Linked DNA regions of Bombyx mori. The protein of the gene in region 3 binds, or shares a complex with, the protein of the main gene of each other region. Links are inferred from orthologs where the notes say so. Each region holds a gene or a part of one and is shown on either strand. Other genes may lie near its edges. The genes, in order: mediator of RNA polymerase II transcription subunit 9, mediator of RNA polymerase II transcription subunit 21 and mediator of RNA polymerase II transcription subunit 1.

Region 1 (5,054 bases), on a different chromosome or scaffold from region 3:
TTTATTCTATGACATCGTTCTTTTATCATGTAATTTAATGATCAAAACAAAAGTAGTCTACTCACCTAAATCCTTGTCGTTCAAACCTAAATGGTTGTCTAGCTCGGTGCATATTTTAGACACGAGCGAAAGATGCTCTAATTTAGTGACTTCGTCCATTTTAAGTATTAGCTTCACTTTAAAACCATCAAATCTAACAAATTCTAACGTATGAACAAAGTCACACAAAACTCACATTTTTAGGCTATTTTGACTTTACTGTTTAACGAAGACTGTCACCTGTCAAAAACAAAGTGGTAGTTCCACTTTTCCAACTAAAAAGGCAAAAGTATCATACCATACAGCCTAATATGCTATTTTTTTTTTATGACAAAAAATAGTTATGACATGAAATGAAATGAAATTAATTCATTTGGAACATTAATAAATTGACCTAAAATTAAATGAAATGAGATGAGATGATATGGGATGAAATATAATTTCAGTAAAATTGTGGTTATTTACTGAAACTTTTTCAGTAAACTTTTTAGACGATCCCGAGAAGCAACGTCCAGCAGCTTTATTTCATTTTCCCACATTGGTGCACTTTCACAGATATTAAATTATTAATAAACCACCGTTATTGTTAAGTTACACATTTAATCCTGAATAAACACTAAATAGAAAAATAAAAAAATAAAAAAACTTCGTTCCTCGTATACCCTGTCAGAAACAAAATAACACACAGCAACACACTCTTAACTCATATTTTAATATACGTACGAACCATAGAAAATGATTCGGATAGAGCCTGCTACTGATGTTTCGAAGTGCCATTTGGCGTTCTTAAAATCTGATGCGATTTCAATACTAAAACGTATCACTACAGAGCTTCTTGATTTAGAAAGAATGGGGTATTTTATTACCGTAGCACCTCTGATTGATATATTTTTAATTAATTAAAATCACTAAGCACATATTATAATTAGTTGAGTAAAAACAATTACCTTCAGCGTGAATAAACTTAGTAGAATTTTAAAACTTTCGTAGAGTCGGGCCTAAAATTTATGCAGAATATAATGATAGGTAAGTAGTTTAAAAAATTTCTATTTTCTTAGTCGATTCCAAAATCTTGGCAGAAATAGGAGAAGATAACTTGTCTGAGTTGTGCTATTTTCTTAATCCAGTGTTTCTACAAGTTTAATAAATAGCAACGGTTTCGTATTCGTGAAAGTGGATAAGATTAAGAAAATGGAACCAAGTTGTTGAACTTGGTTTTTCAAGCGTTTCTAAAAAGTTAAGTGACGAGTAAACTCTCACTATTGTTCAGACTGATTAATTTATTTCGTCCCATAAAACACCGATGGTCATATAATTTCATTCAAATTCATTTTATTTCAAACATTTTTTTCATTTTATTTTACTTTTCTTTAACAGACATTACTACAGCCTTTGTAAAAAAAAGATGTGTGGTGTCGTGGGACACCGGATAGGAACGAAGTTCCTTATTATAAAAATATTAATTTCAAGTTCTATTCGAGGTCTAAAGAAAATAATTATTCAGGTATACATTTTTATTATTTTATTTTTTATTGATAAAAATATAATAATAATTACATTACAAAGTTATCAACTTTATTTTATTCACAATGATTTATAAAAAATTATAATAATAATATACAAAGAAACAGCTATTTATACGAATTATAATAATAACCGTCATCACGTAGACTATACATTAGACACTGTATAGCCATCGTACTAAGAATATACATAAAAAGAGAAAGGTATTATACACTACTCGCTTGTGTATATGACTGTCGCGCCTGCGCACGTCTTATTTAACGGTTTTATTCCACGGACTTTTTCTTACGGTTTTACTATCACATTTTTTTCAGTTCGGACGTGCAGCAAAATCCCTATCTCCTCCAAGCCTGCCGTAAAGAACTTCGTTCCAAAAATTTCGTGTATGAGCTTTATTTCCTTTGCTTGTCGAACACCGATCACACAAACATTCGACTTATTCTCCGCGATTTCGTCCATAGTCCATTGCTGTCCATAGATAACACAATAACACATCATTATTTTTGTCGTTTTCGGTTTTGTGATGGTAAAGAATCTACCTACTTTTTTACGTACCTAGGTTTATGTGTTTAATAACCATAATCTAATAAATTTATAAATTAATAAACAACGTACGTATAATAAAATCTGTTACATAATAAGCAAGTGAAAAATTGTGCTTAAAATTTGTACAATGGAAAACAACACAGATCATTCAGAACAGACGAACTACAGTCCCCTGACTGTTGAGGATGTAGATGTAGACTTTTTACCGATTGTATACGATATAATACGAAGGTATTTTGCGTATTATTTGAGACAAACTAGATTTGCTCAAGTTCATTTTGTATTTTCTGGTGCTTTAAATGTTTTTATTACAGCGTGGAGAGAGATTTTCACGACAACGCGTCGAAAATACGCGAGTCCCACGAGTGCAGTCATAGAGTTCTTGAATTACAAAAGAGGCTAGAAATAGCTAAAGCTCAGGTGAGATTACTTTCAAATACTGGAAACATACTTGGTATTTAACATTTGTAATGTAAAAATAATATGCTAAGTCAGCATAATTTTTGTATTTTGAGGAATCAAATTTATCATGAACTCATACACAAGTATCTGCCATAATATATCATCAACCAGTACACAATTATCTGCAATAATATATCACTCATTTCAGATCAGGAGGCTCCCAGGTATAGAATTCAACAAACACGACCAGCTGAAGCAATTTGAACTGCTCCGCACTCAGCTGAGATTAAAGCGTGAACTCTTACAGAAGTATCGGAATATGTGCTCATTTGAGACATCATTCAAGTGAAGATGCCTCTACGTGCGCTGCTTAAATACTTAGCCAATAATGAACGAATTGTACAGAAGATTGCAGAGTCCTACCCTGTACGAAGAGCAGCTCAGTTAGCTGTCTCAGTATTTTACAGAGGGAAGGAAAAGCTCTCTGATGTTGATCCACAGAAAGTTAATAAATTTATAGAGTTTTTAAAAAGGTTCAGTGCAAATTTGAAGGAAGGAGTACAGGATGCAAAAAAACAACTGAAAAAATAATAATAGTTCCTTGGATGTTTTTGGCTAACCATGGATTAGTTGCTGTTGATTGTAATTCACTATCAGTAGTGTCCTTTACATAATATAACTACTAAATTAGATAATAAAAAACTGTAACATAGTTAGAGCTATTTTTATTTCACTCACTCTGAACAAATCAATAAAAATATAAACTTTACTTAATTCTAAGAAAAAATCACAATATTGCAATGGTATTCATTGTAAATGTCAAAATATTGAAAATATATTTACTTTTAGAAAGCAGCTAGCTTCACTAATTTTATTGCGATTATAAGGTTTTCAGAGTTAAGGCAATGATGATTCAAAACTCTGATCTCATTAACTTTAATTTTTATTTTTAAGTGTTCAAATATTTTAAGTGACCCTAAAAGATTAAGCTTAGTGCTGTAAAAATATATACTTGAGTTTTAATTAGTGTTATAAGAACCTCGAGGTTATTAGTGATTTAACTTGCGAAAATATGCCGACCCATTGTGACAGGTGGATTAGCGGTATGGCTTGAGGCTGTCTAGATTAATCAGTGTCACTACGTCCCCAGAAAACGACAGGAGTTCTACCCTTGGTAGTAAAACTACTAAATTGTACTATGCAACAATCACTAGAAAAACCTTTAAGTTAGATAAAAAGATCAATATAGATTTTAGATTAATTTGAATAGTATGTGCCACTTTCCAGCCAGTCATTTTAGAGCAATAGTTTTGTATTAAAAGTAAAATATAGTTGTTTTACATTTAATACAGATTCTTCTCCGAATATTTGTAAAGTTATTTATCGATTGAATTACATTCTTAAAGGCGATTGCACAGTATTAGTATATTGAATAATATAATTTCGATGATAATGTATCTAGCAAACTTCTAGAAGTCCTAATTATAACTGTCCTCTGTGGACAAATATTAATATATTTTTTTTAATATTTAAAGAAAGAATTCAGATACGTTAAATTTACAGCCACTATTTCACAGAAATTAGTAACTATTAAAGTTGACAGACTTGATTAAGCTAAGTCTACCAAAAAATGTTTCTTTTTTCAATGTACATTTCTTGTACTTTTTGTGCCTATCCTACTTAAATGGTAAAAGGAAAACATTTTCAACCTATACCTACCGTATTTATGTAAAAATGAACTATAATTCTGACATTTGACGTTCAAGCATTTTTATTGAACAAAAAACTTTATTGGCATTTTCATCAAGCGCCCTTCATACCAAAATTGAAAAAGTTTAAAATGAGAGAAAAAACCCCAAAAATTATAATTTTCTTCTAGATTAGTAACACTGTCGTCTTGACTGCAGCGTGTATTAATTAGCCGCAGCGACGGTCGGTTGTGTGGGTTCGGGCGGCTTGTCGTGTCTCTTCCGACCACGACGCCCCCCTCCCGCCCCTCCGCCTTGGACGCGCTTGTCCGCTTGGATCTCGAACGGAGAGTCCATTGCAGTCACGTCGCTCTCTTGCTGTTATCGAGAAATGATAAATAAATTAAAGTCTCTATTTGAGTGTTTTTTTTTTTGTGTGCAAGTTTAAATATTTTTATTATAATTTTATATGAAATAATTAACCAACCTGCATAGGCACACAACACGCCTTACCTCCTGGGATGGCAGAAGAGCTATTAGGATACAGAAAATTTTGTGGAAAAATTAGCTGAGAATACTTAAGCAGTACGGACGAGTGATTCGGGAATATCATTTTATTAATAGCTAATTACCATACCATATTTTCACAAAAAATGTAGTGTTGCTAGCCCAAAATTTGAAAACTAAAAAAACATTTTTTTTATTTTTACAGACCACGTGCTGCGAATCACTCTCATCGGCTGCGTGGTTGTTGTGCTGCGGGTTCCGGCGGTCGTGCCGGGCGGGCTTCAGCGACATCGGCTCCGGACGTAGCACGTTGCCCACGGCTTTTGTACGACCCTCACGGAACACCTG
Region 2 (5,649 bases), on a different chromosome or scaffold from region 3:
TGCAGGCAGTCGAGCATACGGCCCACCTGAGGTAAGTGGTTACCATCGCTCATGGACGTCAGCAATGCCAGCCAAGTCGCTGCCTACCATTGAGCACTCTCCGCAAGTCTCGTCTGAAGAAGGACATGTCAAAGCGCTCGGGAAACACCGCGGAGGGGAGCTCATTCCAAAGGCGGATGGTACGTGGCAGAAAAAATATTTGGAAACGCAATGTCGATGAACGTAGCGGTTCCAGACAATATGGATGAACTCTGCTCCGGTGGCGAGAGGTGTGATGGTAAAAAGCAAGGAATTTCAATGTTCACGACGAAAAAAAAAAAGGGTTGATAGAATATCAGATGCGTATTTTTTTAATTAGCATTTGAGTTAGTAGGTAACAAACCATAAATAGTAATATAATATTCCAAAACATTTAGATGTGACTATTACAGCCAATAATGTTTTTGAATTTATTGTATTTTTTTTTTTGTTGCTTAGATGGGTGGACGGGCTCACAGCCCACCTGGTGATGAATGGTTACAGGAGCCTATAGACCCACCTTGAGATATAAGTTGTAAGATCTCAGTATAGTTATAGAATTATTTTACCATACTTTGTCAAGTCATCCAGCCAATAAGAATTTTATAAATCGAATGTACAACTTACTCGATAAACTTGCTTGTTCCATTAGTTATCTAAAAGCTACAATGATAGTAGTAGAATGAAATGAAGATCATTTATTTGAAATTTTAATGTATTAATATGAAATTAATTGGAAAGAAGTAAAACGAGATGAGATAAAATGAAATAACGTCCCAGTAACAGGATGGGAATTTACTGACGCTTTTTGGAGGAAGCCGTTAAGCCACATATAGGAACTTTGTTCTAATTTCCCACACATGTGCACTTTCAGAGATGCTAAAATGTAAATAAGCTACCATTAATACATATATAAACCTGAAGGAACACTACTTCTACTAAATTAAACTATTCTTTACCATTGAATCAGTATTGAAATTTATACAAATAAAACATTTGATTTAATAAAACACTCTTAGCTATCAACATTTATTTTCAATCATATAGATTTTTTTTCATTTCAAGATTATAGTTTTCTATTTCCAATCTCTAAAGTATATTAATATTTAGATTCGAGTCCATTCCAGCATATACAGGGCGTACAACAAAAAGAAAAATTAAACCTTTAATTAAACATAATAACTTAATTAAATTAATTAAACATAAAACATAAATATTTTTTAATTTAATTAAAACTCATGTTCATCATTGAATACAATCACCTTTACTTTTTCCTTGTGTTCATTTTATTTTATGTATATAGATGAACGAGTTCATCTAATATTAAGAGATTAACATAGCCCAGAGATCCCAGTCATTGCCGCCACTCATCTCAAAATCATCATCAACAACTAACCTGTGCTTCAAAACTGGAAAACAACGGCTTTACAGTATGTATAGGCAGAGTGGCGGTACCTACCCTTTCAGACTTAAAGTATGCCTTACGTAATAATAGAAAATAATGAATAAACAAGTCATGTATACTTAACTATTCAATTATAACAAATGATTACTTAAAATGATATATGTCATACCAATGTTTTTCTTATTATAGTTTCAAAAATATGACATTCAGACAATTTAGTTTTCACCGGCATGAAAGCCCTGTAACAAATTTGCAAACAACAAAAAAAAATCTTCGTCATTAAGCATTAAGATTTCAAACACAAAATTTTAAAATTCATATAATACTAAAATACTTCCGTGTATTCTTGTTTTAACGTATCCTTTTGTAGAGGAAACTACCGTTGGTAGAACCCCAGACCCCATCCCTATAACTGTGGTTTCACATCCTTGTTGAGGATCAGAGCCGGATTCTGCATGTCCAACTGGCACTGAGCAATATCACTCAGAGCACCCTGAATCTTCTCTAGAAGAATCTCTCCTTGACGGACTACCTGTAGAATTATTAAATATTGTCTGACATTATTATTAACGCTAATGAAAAGAGAGTAAGTCATGTGTAATTATTTTCATATCGACGCTTGAAAGGCAAACGTGACTAAGCGACAATAACTGCTTTATACATGATAGGCAATAACCATATTCAATGCCAAAAAAAATATATTTCTAGGTCTATTAAAATCATTTCAATCCTACAGCTAGTTTCGTTAAAATAGAATTTTTTCAGGTATTTCATCTTGAAATTAGTCTACTGTGAAGTTCACGCATTGTCGCTTAGTCACGTTTGCCTTTCAAGCGTCGATATGATTACTTCCAATATTTCAAATACTATAAGTTTTTGTAGTCATGGCAATCTAAAACATGAGATTAATCTGTAAACACCCTATGGGTTTTGAAAATTGAATAAAGTAATATTCGCTGATACAATTCCAGTGTGCCATCTCAAAATGAAGTTAAGGAAACAACTTTAACCAAATCGCTATTACTGTCAATTTTATCTTAAGTAGGTACTAATTTATGTTTAAATATTGGTGCTTGTTTACATTACAAAAGTTGACTATAGACAAAATACAATGTCTGTAATACAAATACTTTCTTGGAATATTTGATTTTACATTCAAATGGCAATACAAAAGCAAACTGCATGGCATAATTACTTCTTTAAAATCATTATTTTAATGGTTTAGTTACATGATAATTCCCAATTTATGATAAAAAAGAAAGCTAGTGTCCTTTGAGATAAATTGCACGTGTATTGGGCACGGAGAGTTGACAGCCCTTACCTCTTCAAGTTGCTCAGCAGCCTCCTTGTTCTCGGCCTCAAGTCGCCGAAGGCTTTGCACTTGCAGCTCAGTTGAACTCTCTTCACTGGGCAAAGACTCGATGAGCGTGTCAATGTCCTTAGCACAACGAGAAATTAGAGCCGCGAATAAAACCGCATAATCCTCTTGACTCTGCGGTTGTTGAGGAGTCTGAGAACCACCGCGTTCGAAGCCTGGGAACTTGCTAGGCAACGAGAACTGCTGTAGAATTCCGATGCTGTTACAAAAATTCTCAGCTTGCTACAAATAAATAAATACAACGTATGTGAAATGTATTAATGTCAATTAAAACGAAATGTTCATTTTTGTCATACGTACTTGGTTTATGGTATCTTGAAGCTGAGTTAAGCGATCAGCCATTATTCAATTCAGATATTTATCCTACTAACCACTGTTAAAATTTAATCCTTATATGGATATTTTCTATGGAAGGTGGTTTTAAGCTACCTACAGTATCAATTTGTAAAACTACCTTTTGAATGAAGTTATTTGAAGTTGAACGTTATGACGTTTTTAAGTAATATTTCCAATATTTCCAGGTGGAAAGGCGAAGATATCACACACCATACATCCTAGTCTTTTGTATGTACATTCTATTCTCTTTCATGAAAAATGATCATATGGAGCGAAATGAAATAAAGTTGATTCATTTGAGACATTAATCTAAAATCCAAATAACTTGAAGTTCTGTAAGGAAACAATTATATTACGATCGTTTAACTTTGGCGTGCAGCAAAACAGTACCTAATTTGGAATAGTAACGCCATTTTAAGCCAGAGATCTTTTTTGCCACGTACCATACGGCTTTGGAATGAGCTCCGCTCCACGGTGTTTTCCGAGCGCTATGACGTATTCTTCTTCAAACGAGGCTTGCGGAAAGTACTTAACGGTAGGCAGCGACTTGGCTGTCCCTGGCATTGCTGAAGTCCATGGGCGATGGTAACCACTTACCATCAGGTGGGCCGTATGCTCGTCTGCCTACAAGGGCAATAAAAAAATACATTTAGAACTGCAATCATTCTCATCAGTATTAAAATTTAGAAAACCATTTCTCCGTTATATACATTATAAGCTAAATAGTAATGTTGCTAATAACAGGACCACTTGACGTTTCGGTTTGAAGGGTGGGGCAGCCGTTGTAAGTATACCTTAGAACTCATATCTCAAGGTGGGTGACGGTATTTACGTTATAGATATCTATGGGCTCCGGTATCACTTAACACCAGGTGGACTATGAGCTCTTCCACCCATCTACATATAAAAAAAATTAAAAAACTTTAATTATAGGCAATGAAATGAATTTCAAAATTTCCTTTATTTAATGTAAGCAGTGTACACAATAGGTAACCATAATATTACCGACTAGAAAAACATCACAATTATTGAGTATTTAAGTATAATAAAAAACCATTAATGAACCTCTTTCATTTCAGACCTTAAACGATTATTTTTAAATTTTAGTTATTCAATGAAACAACATTAACAATAAGCTGGATTCACATTACGGATATAACGAGGTTGTGTGTTCAAACATGTTATTGTTTAATGACTACTACAACTATTAGTCTAATTCAATCTAAGGCAGCTGTGCTATAGTAAAATTGGCAGAACTTTACTAATTTGTAAAAGTTTTCCGTTTTTCTTTTCGTTTCGTGTAAGCCATTTTTTTTACAATCAACAAACACCTCCTGTCGCGCAATAAGTAAATATCAAATCCTCGCGTCATTTTTGTAACAACTAAAATTCATCAAGAAGTTGCGTCGCAGTGTGTGTAGGCTACCGAATAGGTAGGAAAAAAAACTTCCATCACCGCTTTCGCGCTATTCTCGTACGAATTAACAATAAAAGACTAGATAGCTTTCAGCCTAACCTGCACTCTTTAAAAATAACTAAGCATTTGCGGTATCACATTTTTATGATAGAAATCCGCCGTTATCGAATTTAAATTGCTTAGAAGTCAACAATGAAAATTGCTAAATTAGATTTTTGAGTACTGTATGTACATACCCAACATAGCATCTAATTTTTTTATAAATTAAGTACAAAACTTTACTAATAACAGCAATATGAATATAATTCATTAGCATAATAATATAGCAAATAAAAATTCCCACTTTTTTTTGAGTACCTAACTAAATTATCGTTTGTAAAGTAAGAAAGTGAGCGCAGTTGGTTGAATAAACTAGCACTCGACGCATGCGCATTAGTTTTTAATTTTTAAATAGGGTAAGTTTGTCTACCGCCATCCTTGTCTGACAAACGATGTTACGCATTAACTCTCTCACTCTACTTTGGATCTAGGTTTCCATCTTTATCAGCTAGCAACCCCCGTTTGCGGCCACATTTACAAAGACAGAGGTTTTAAATTGTGCACAGAAAAAAAAACACACACACACAAAACCTCGTGATTGTTATTAAAAATGTTTTAAAACAATTTAGATAAATTGTTTGAAAACTTCAAAGCTTCACACTATAGTACCAAAATTATTATCAAATACCTTAAAATTATAGATCTATTCTCAATTTATTATCAAATTTTATGCATAAATATAGTTATAAACATAGCAACAAGTAATGACTATTTACTAAAACTTTTAAAAAATCACACAATGAAATAGTTTTAACAATTCACAATTAGTTTTGTTAGAGAGCATCACAAAGCTTAACTTTTCATTTAGAATCAAGTGCAAACAATCATGCTAAGTATTGGATTTAGCTATAATTAATAAAATTTTCAATCCTCATTAAAGCTTTACACTCTGAAGGGCAAGCACGAATGACTATCGAAAAAGTATTCGTATCTCTATCGAGAAAAAATAGATAGGATTTAAACAGTGCCCCTACTACCGTCCGTTAAAGGAATTAA
Region 3 (5,549 bases):
ACTGCCTGTATGTAGGGATGACAAGGAAGTAGTAGTAATTACTCAACAATGGTATCTTCTAATTAAATAATAGTTGAGAGACTACTATCTGTAAATTACTTTTATAAGTTGCCTTTTATGTAATCCAAAAGTTAGGTTATTCAAGAGATTTTTTATTGAAATGTAAAAGATAAACGTAAAATTAAAGCACAAATTTTATGTTTGATAAGCTGCTTTCTGGATACATAGTATATCTATGCTAATAGTTTTCAATCAGCCGCAGTGTTGTCTAACATACAAAATTATGCACTTTCTATTCACATCCTATGATGTGTTTATGTAATACAATTTGTATGATTTTTTTTTTAAATAAGAACCCTCGATAACGTAGTTTTGCCTTAGGATACTAAAAATAATATTGTGTAAATAAAGTATGTTTTGTATATTTTCAGATTAAAATTAGTAGTTGGCACTTCAGGAGTAAACTTGTTCATATCATCAGATATGTTTTATTTAGAGATACTTGTAGAATCATCGGGTTCCGTAAAAGATGTCAAAATACATCATGAAGGAAAGGTAATATATTTTTACTGTATGGGTGGATTTAAAATTTCACACAGTCATCTAAAAAATTTCTGTTTATAGATCGAACAACAAAGTTGTGAAGAATTGGTACACTGTATATCAGCTGGAGATTTCACAGATTTTACAGCACAATTAGAAGGTTTGACTGCTGTTTATCAACTTAATGCTGAGAAAAAGGCAAGTACTTACTTATTTATATGGGTAGCGAAAAGTATTTTAGTAAAGAAAAAAAAAACCTAGATTGATTTCATGATAAATTCATTCTTTGCAGATTAAGGTTTTGTTCTGTTTTCAGACTTACACCATAATATATTATAGCAATGATCATTTCAAGCAATTAATTTACCTATATTGTTTAATTAAAATTAAACTTTTTTCCCATTCTAACAAACTATGATCTCATCTTATTGATCTACTAATCTTGACTATTATAGTACATCAAAGCCTGAGTATATTTCTAGTCAGATTATCTATATTTCAAAAAATAAAATTACTGATGGTGGTCTGGATTTTCAGAATCCATTACACAAAAAAATACTTAGCCTGGGATGTTTTTAATTTCCCATTTAAATTCCTTAACACTGTTGAACAAATTAATAAAACATAGTTAATTTCTCATTACAAAAACAAAGGTACTTGATTACAAATTCTTAGTATTATACTCTATTAGGCAGCGGCTTGGCTCTGCCCCTGGCATTGCTGAAGTTCATGGGCGACGGTAACCACTCACCATCAGGTGGGCCGTATGCTCGTCTGCCTACAAGGGCAATAAAAAAAAAAAAAAAAAAAAAAAATTCCTATTCTTTAGTATACAGATCCCACATTTAAGACAAACTCGTTTGTTTTAGGTGAAATGTAAAGCATTCACTGCCCTTCAGAGCTTGGAAGATGACCTGTGTACGTTACGACAATTACAGAGTTTTATAAAAGATCCTTGGGCACAAGTACACAAGAGTCCCATAGGTTTTCTTCAGAAACGTAGAGGAGGTAAGACATACATAATTCGTAAGAAAGTATGTGATAATTAAGAAACATTTATCAAACTATTTTTAAAATTATTTTGAATGACTAGTAACCCGCTCCGGCTCCGCTCGGGTCTTTAACAAAAATATCAGAGATATTTGACGTTTTATTTTTTTAAATAATAGAACACTTATTGCGGCATAACTATAATAGTTAGAAATATGCTGTCGCGACACTTTTTGTAAATAATAATGTGTTCTACAAAGTCGTAGTATATTATTTTATTCTATCATCAATCGTTTTTGCAGGACACGCGATGTAAAGAATTTTTTAGGTAATTTTTTTACGCCTTGGGTTACATTATCGGAGTTTCAGTAAGGATCCCTAATTTTTTTCAAAAAAGATTATAGCCTATGTCACTGGGGAATAGTGTAGCTTCCAAATAATGAAAGAATTTTTCTAATCGGCTCAGTAGTTTCAGAGCCTATTCAATACAAACAAACAAACAAATCTTTCCTCTTTATAATATTAGTATAGATTAGTATAGATTTAAGTTGTTTTGAGTTAAACGGGTATTCTCATAAAATGATTAATACGGTGAATATAAAATATTCTATGCAATACTACCAAAATTCTTTTCGCAGGTCACGCGATGCGTCTAACGTACTTCGTTTCACCATACGAGCTATTAGACAAAGACGCGGGCCTACAGCCTCTCACGACTGAACTCTTGACGACCGGGAAACCTACGGCATCCAACGGCTTCGCTTCACACGGCACACCCGCCTACACTCCTATAGGTCATTCCGCCACTGTCTTATTAGAAGGCTCCACTGCCAATAAACTGCAGTTATCGACTATTATATCAAATGCCCAACGATCTGGAAAAAGGTGAGATTATATTTTATTAAAACTTTACTGTAACACTTGCCGAAGCAGACTTCATCCCTAGAATCCGGTCTAGAAACATTGCACTCATCACATTCATTCATCATTTTTCCGGCTTTGAAGTGAAATCATCCCCACAATAGGCTGAGCACTATGGTATGTCTTGCATTAAACGAGATTTGAAAATAATTTCCAACAATTGACTGGCTTATTTGTGCCCTCGTTTTTTTCATCGTTTCATTCTCGACATTTTGACATGAGGTCTCAGTATAGAGTTATGTTTCGCTCATCGCAGATAATGCATTAATAGTTGTGCAAATCATAGGCAGACCTACATATATTTGTATATTTAAAAATAGAATTGGATGCAAAGTATTAAAAAAAACCTTATTAAAACTATTTTTACGATTTAAAACTCTCATTTTTATTGTTTACACATTACGACTGACCATCCGTGATCCACATAAACTGTAAAGTCGAAACGTCGGAAATAATAATAATATAATGACAATAAAAACGCGAGTTTCAAACCGTAAAAATATTTTAAACTATAATATGTACGTATGACTCGCGAAAACCAAAGAATATAAAGTTAGTAAAATTCTTATTATTATTAATCGGATCAAGACAGAAATCACCAGCTCTACCAACTACACAAGGGCGGATCCAGGGGGGGGTCATGGGGGTCATGACCCCCCCTGAGCTGGTCCCTAGGTGGACCACATATTGAACATAATGATTTTAGGACACAATATGTTGTTGCTCCTTATATTGCTCCTTAATTAATTTAATGTAATATAATAACTTTGTATGATGGCAAATTTTAGGGAACGAACGCATCGAAAATTTGAGTTTTACCGCGCCACACTCGCGCGCCCTTGTCGACTACGTAACGTCTAGGTCTTTCTCTACGTTGCGCAGACTTAAATCGTGGCTAAGATCTTCAATGGTTGAAGATCGCCTAACCGGACTGGCACTTCTCCACGTTAATAAAAACGTTTTTTTTTTTTTATGCTTGAAGGATTACTGGTGGCCCGGAGGCCTTTCCGCTTCACCAGGACAGGTGGGCGAGCAAAGGCTCAGTGAGGAGGGCTGGGATTTGCTAACAACTGTCCAAGCGCCTCCGAAGGAGACCTAACAACTCAAGAGCAATTGCTTCGCGAATGAATCTACTACCGGATCGGAATCGCGACCCACTGAGAAGATCCGGCGAGAAACTCAGCGGGCTGATGCATGGGTTAGGTTGCACGTCGACCTCTTTGTCGAGTTGGACGAGTACGGTTTCCGGGGTTCCTCAGCCTGCTCCTAGTGTTAGAGCTGAAGGTATCTAATGCAAGAGTTATTGGATCTGATGGATCCGTAAGGACGTGTCTAGGGCGACGACGGTGACTTGCTCCTGCGTGATCAGGATTCGGGGAGTAATCAGCGGCGGCAACGATAAGGCGATTATCATGACGCATAGCCCTATCGAAGTAACGTTCCGACACTGACTTCATGTGTTTGCGGATCGATTCGAGGCCCAGGTCGTCGTGTAGGTCGACGTTCCTCACGAACTACGGAGCCCCGATGGCTAACCTGCAAAAGCGGGATTGTAGGGATTGGAGGGTGTCTATGTGTGTGCGGGCCGCGTGAGCGAACACCACACTCGCGTAAGTCATGACGGGCCTTATGCAAGTTTTGTAAAGTGTCACCTTGTTCCGAAGGGACATTTTACTCCGCTTACAGATCATGGGATAGAGTCTGCCGAGAATAAATGCGGCACGGTCACGGACTGTTTTTACATGCGGGCGGAATGTCATGGATGCATCCAGGGTGACTCCCAGGTACTTGACCTTCCTGGCCCAGGGTATAGGTTGGCCGAAGAGGGTGATCGGGGGTGTGATATTTCTCCTCCTAATGCGGGAGGAAATAAGCGGTGAGTTTCCCCTTTGAAATAACACTGCTGTGCTTTTCGCTGGGTTGATGTCTATGCGCCATTTTCGGAACCACTGTCCGAGGGTTAACGCTGCACTCTGGAGCTTACTCGCGACTAGGGACTTGTTTCTACTTGAGTAGGTTGTGTCGTCAGCGAATAAGGCTAGCTGGGGCCCACTGAGTTTCTCGCCGGATCTTCTCAGTGGGTCGCGTTTCCGATCCGGTGGTAGATTCTGCGAAGCACGGCTCTTGCTAGGGTTCGTGTTAGCAACGTCATCAGGTTTGAGCCCCGTGAGCTCACCTACAAAAGTTAGGGTTACGCTGACATAGCCTCTCAAGGCTCTCAGCTTAGGTAGGAAAAAAAAAAAAAAAAAAAGAAAAGGTAACTGGGTCGGCGGCGATCGGGGAATATCATTGACAAATAAACTAAATAGGAGCGGAGAAAGAACGGAGCTTTGCGGGACTCCAGCCGTGAGTGGTCGCGGGGAGGAGCGGGTTCCCTCTACTCGATATCGAAAAGAGCAGTTAGACAAGAAGTCCCGTATGATGAGCACGAGACTGTCCGGTACACCCATGTTGAAAAGTTTGAAAATCAAACCGTTGTGCCAGACTGTCGAAGAAGAGGGCTCCCGTGTAGATCGGTTTTGTCATAAAAACGTACCCATTGACGTAAATGACGTAATAACGCCTTTCGGGAGAAGACGTAAAAGAAAAATTGATTTTGTTATTTAAATATGTATTTTGTCTGTTTCTATTTTGTTTGTTGGAAACCCTTGTCGTACCACTTTTGCGGACTTTTGCGTCATACCCCTCGACATACCTTTAGCTGTTATGACAAACCATTCACCACGGTTATGGAATATAAATAAGCTGCCTCATTCCGGGCGTGATAGTGCTTCTCTGGATGTCTTCAAGAGAAGATGACAATATGTACGTGTATATGTAGGTACAAGTTATTATGTGTTAAGTTTTTCAAGTGTACAATAAAGAATAAATATTTCTAAGTACAGTACTTACGTACATTAATAAAATACCTACTTTTTACTTGCATCTATTGTTATCAAAATTAAATTATAAGTTCTTGACTTGACCATGACTATGTGACCCCCTCCTGGCACCAAAGCTGGATCCGCCCTTGCAACTACATGTCATTTGTGGAAACGCTTATAACCTTTAAATTTTATTGTTGCCCTTTAAAGCAACGGTCCCGTATACGCGCC

What was found.
Region 1: mediator of RNA polymerase II transcription subunit 1 (region 3) and mediator of RNA polymerase II transcription subunit 9 share a complex: the UniProt entries of both Drosophila melanogaster proteins name them as parts of the mediator complex. The link is inferred for Bombyx mori from reciprocal best matches to the Drosophila melanogaster genes MED1 and MED9.
Region 2: mediator of RNA polymerase II transcription subunit 1 (region 3) and mediator of RNA polymerase II transcription subunit 21 share a complex: the UniProt entries of both Drosophila melanogaster proteins name them as parts of the mediator complex. The link is inferred for Bombyx mori from reciprocal best matches to the Drosophila melanogaster genes MED1 and MED21.

The regions. Positions count from the first base shown.
Region 1 is NC_085116.1:15,850,291-15,855,344, forward strand, and holds mediator of RNA polymerase II transcription subunit 9, read left to right. Parts: upstream 1-1,959; 5' UTR 1,960-2,236; coding exon 2,237-2,340; intron 2,341-2,423; coding exon 2,424-2,529; intron 2,530-2,719; coding exon 2,720-2,860; 3' UTR 2,861-3,223; downstream 3,224-5,054. Other genes in the region: ATP-dependent RNA helicase DHX8, read right to left, coding at 66-159; GTP-binding protein 1, read right to left, coding at 4,425-4,577, 4,914-5,051. UniProt on the Drosophila melanogaster protein: Component of the Mediator complex, a coactivator involved in the regulated transcription of nearly all RNA polymerase II-dependent genes.
Region 2 is NC_085122.1:11,556,490-11,562,138, forward strand, and holds mediator of RNA polymerase II transcription subunit 21, read right to left. Parts: upstream 4,033-5,649; 5' UTR 3,144-4,032; coding exon 3,102-3,143; intron 3,024-3,101; coding exon 2,745-3,023; intron 1,956-2,744; coding exon 1,830-1,955; 3' UTR 1,034-1,829; downstream 1-1,033. UniProt on the Drosophila melanogaster protein: Component of the Mediator complex, a coactivator involved in the regulated transcription of nearly all RNA polymerase II-dependent genes.
Region 3 is NC_085114.1:6,959,846-6,965,394, forward strand, and holds part of mediator of RNA polymerase II transcription subunit 1, read left to right. Parts: intron 1-431; coding exon 432-555; intron 556-624; coding exon 625-741; intron 742-1,412; coding exon 1,413-1,551; intron 1,552-2,171; coding exon 2,172-2,418; intron 2,419-5,528; coding exon 5,529-5,549. UniProt on the Drosophila melanogaster protein: Component of the Mediator complex, a coactivator involved in the regulated transcription of nearly all RNA polymerase II-dependent genes.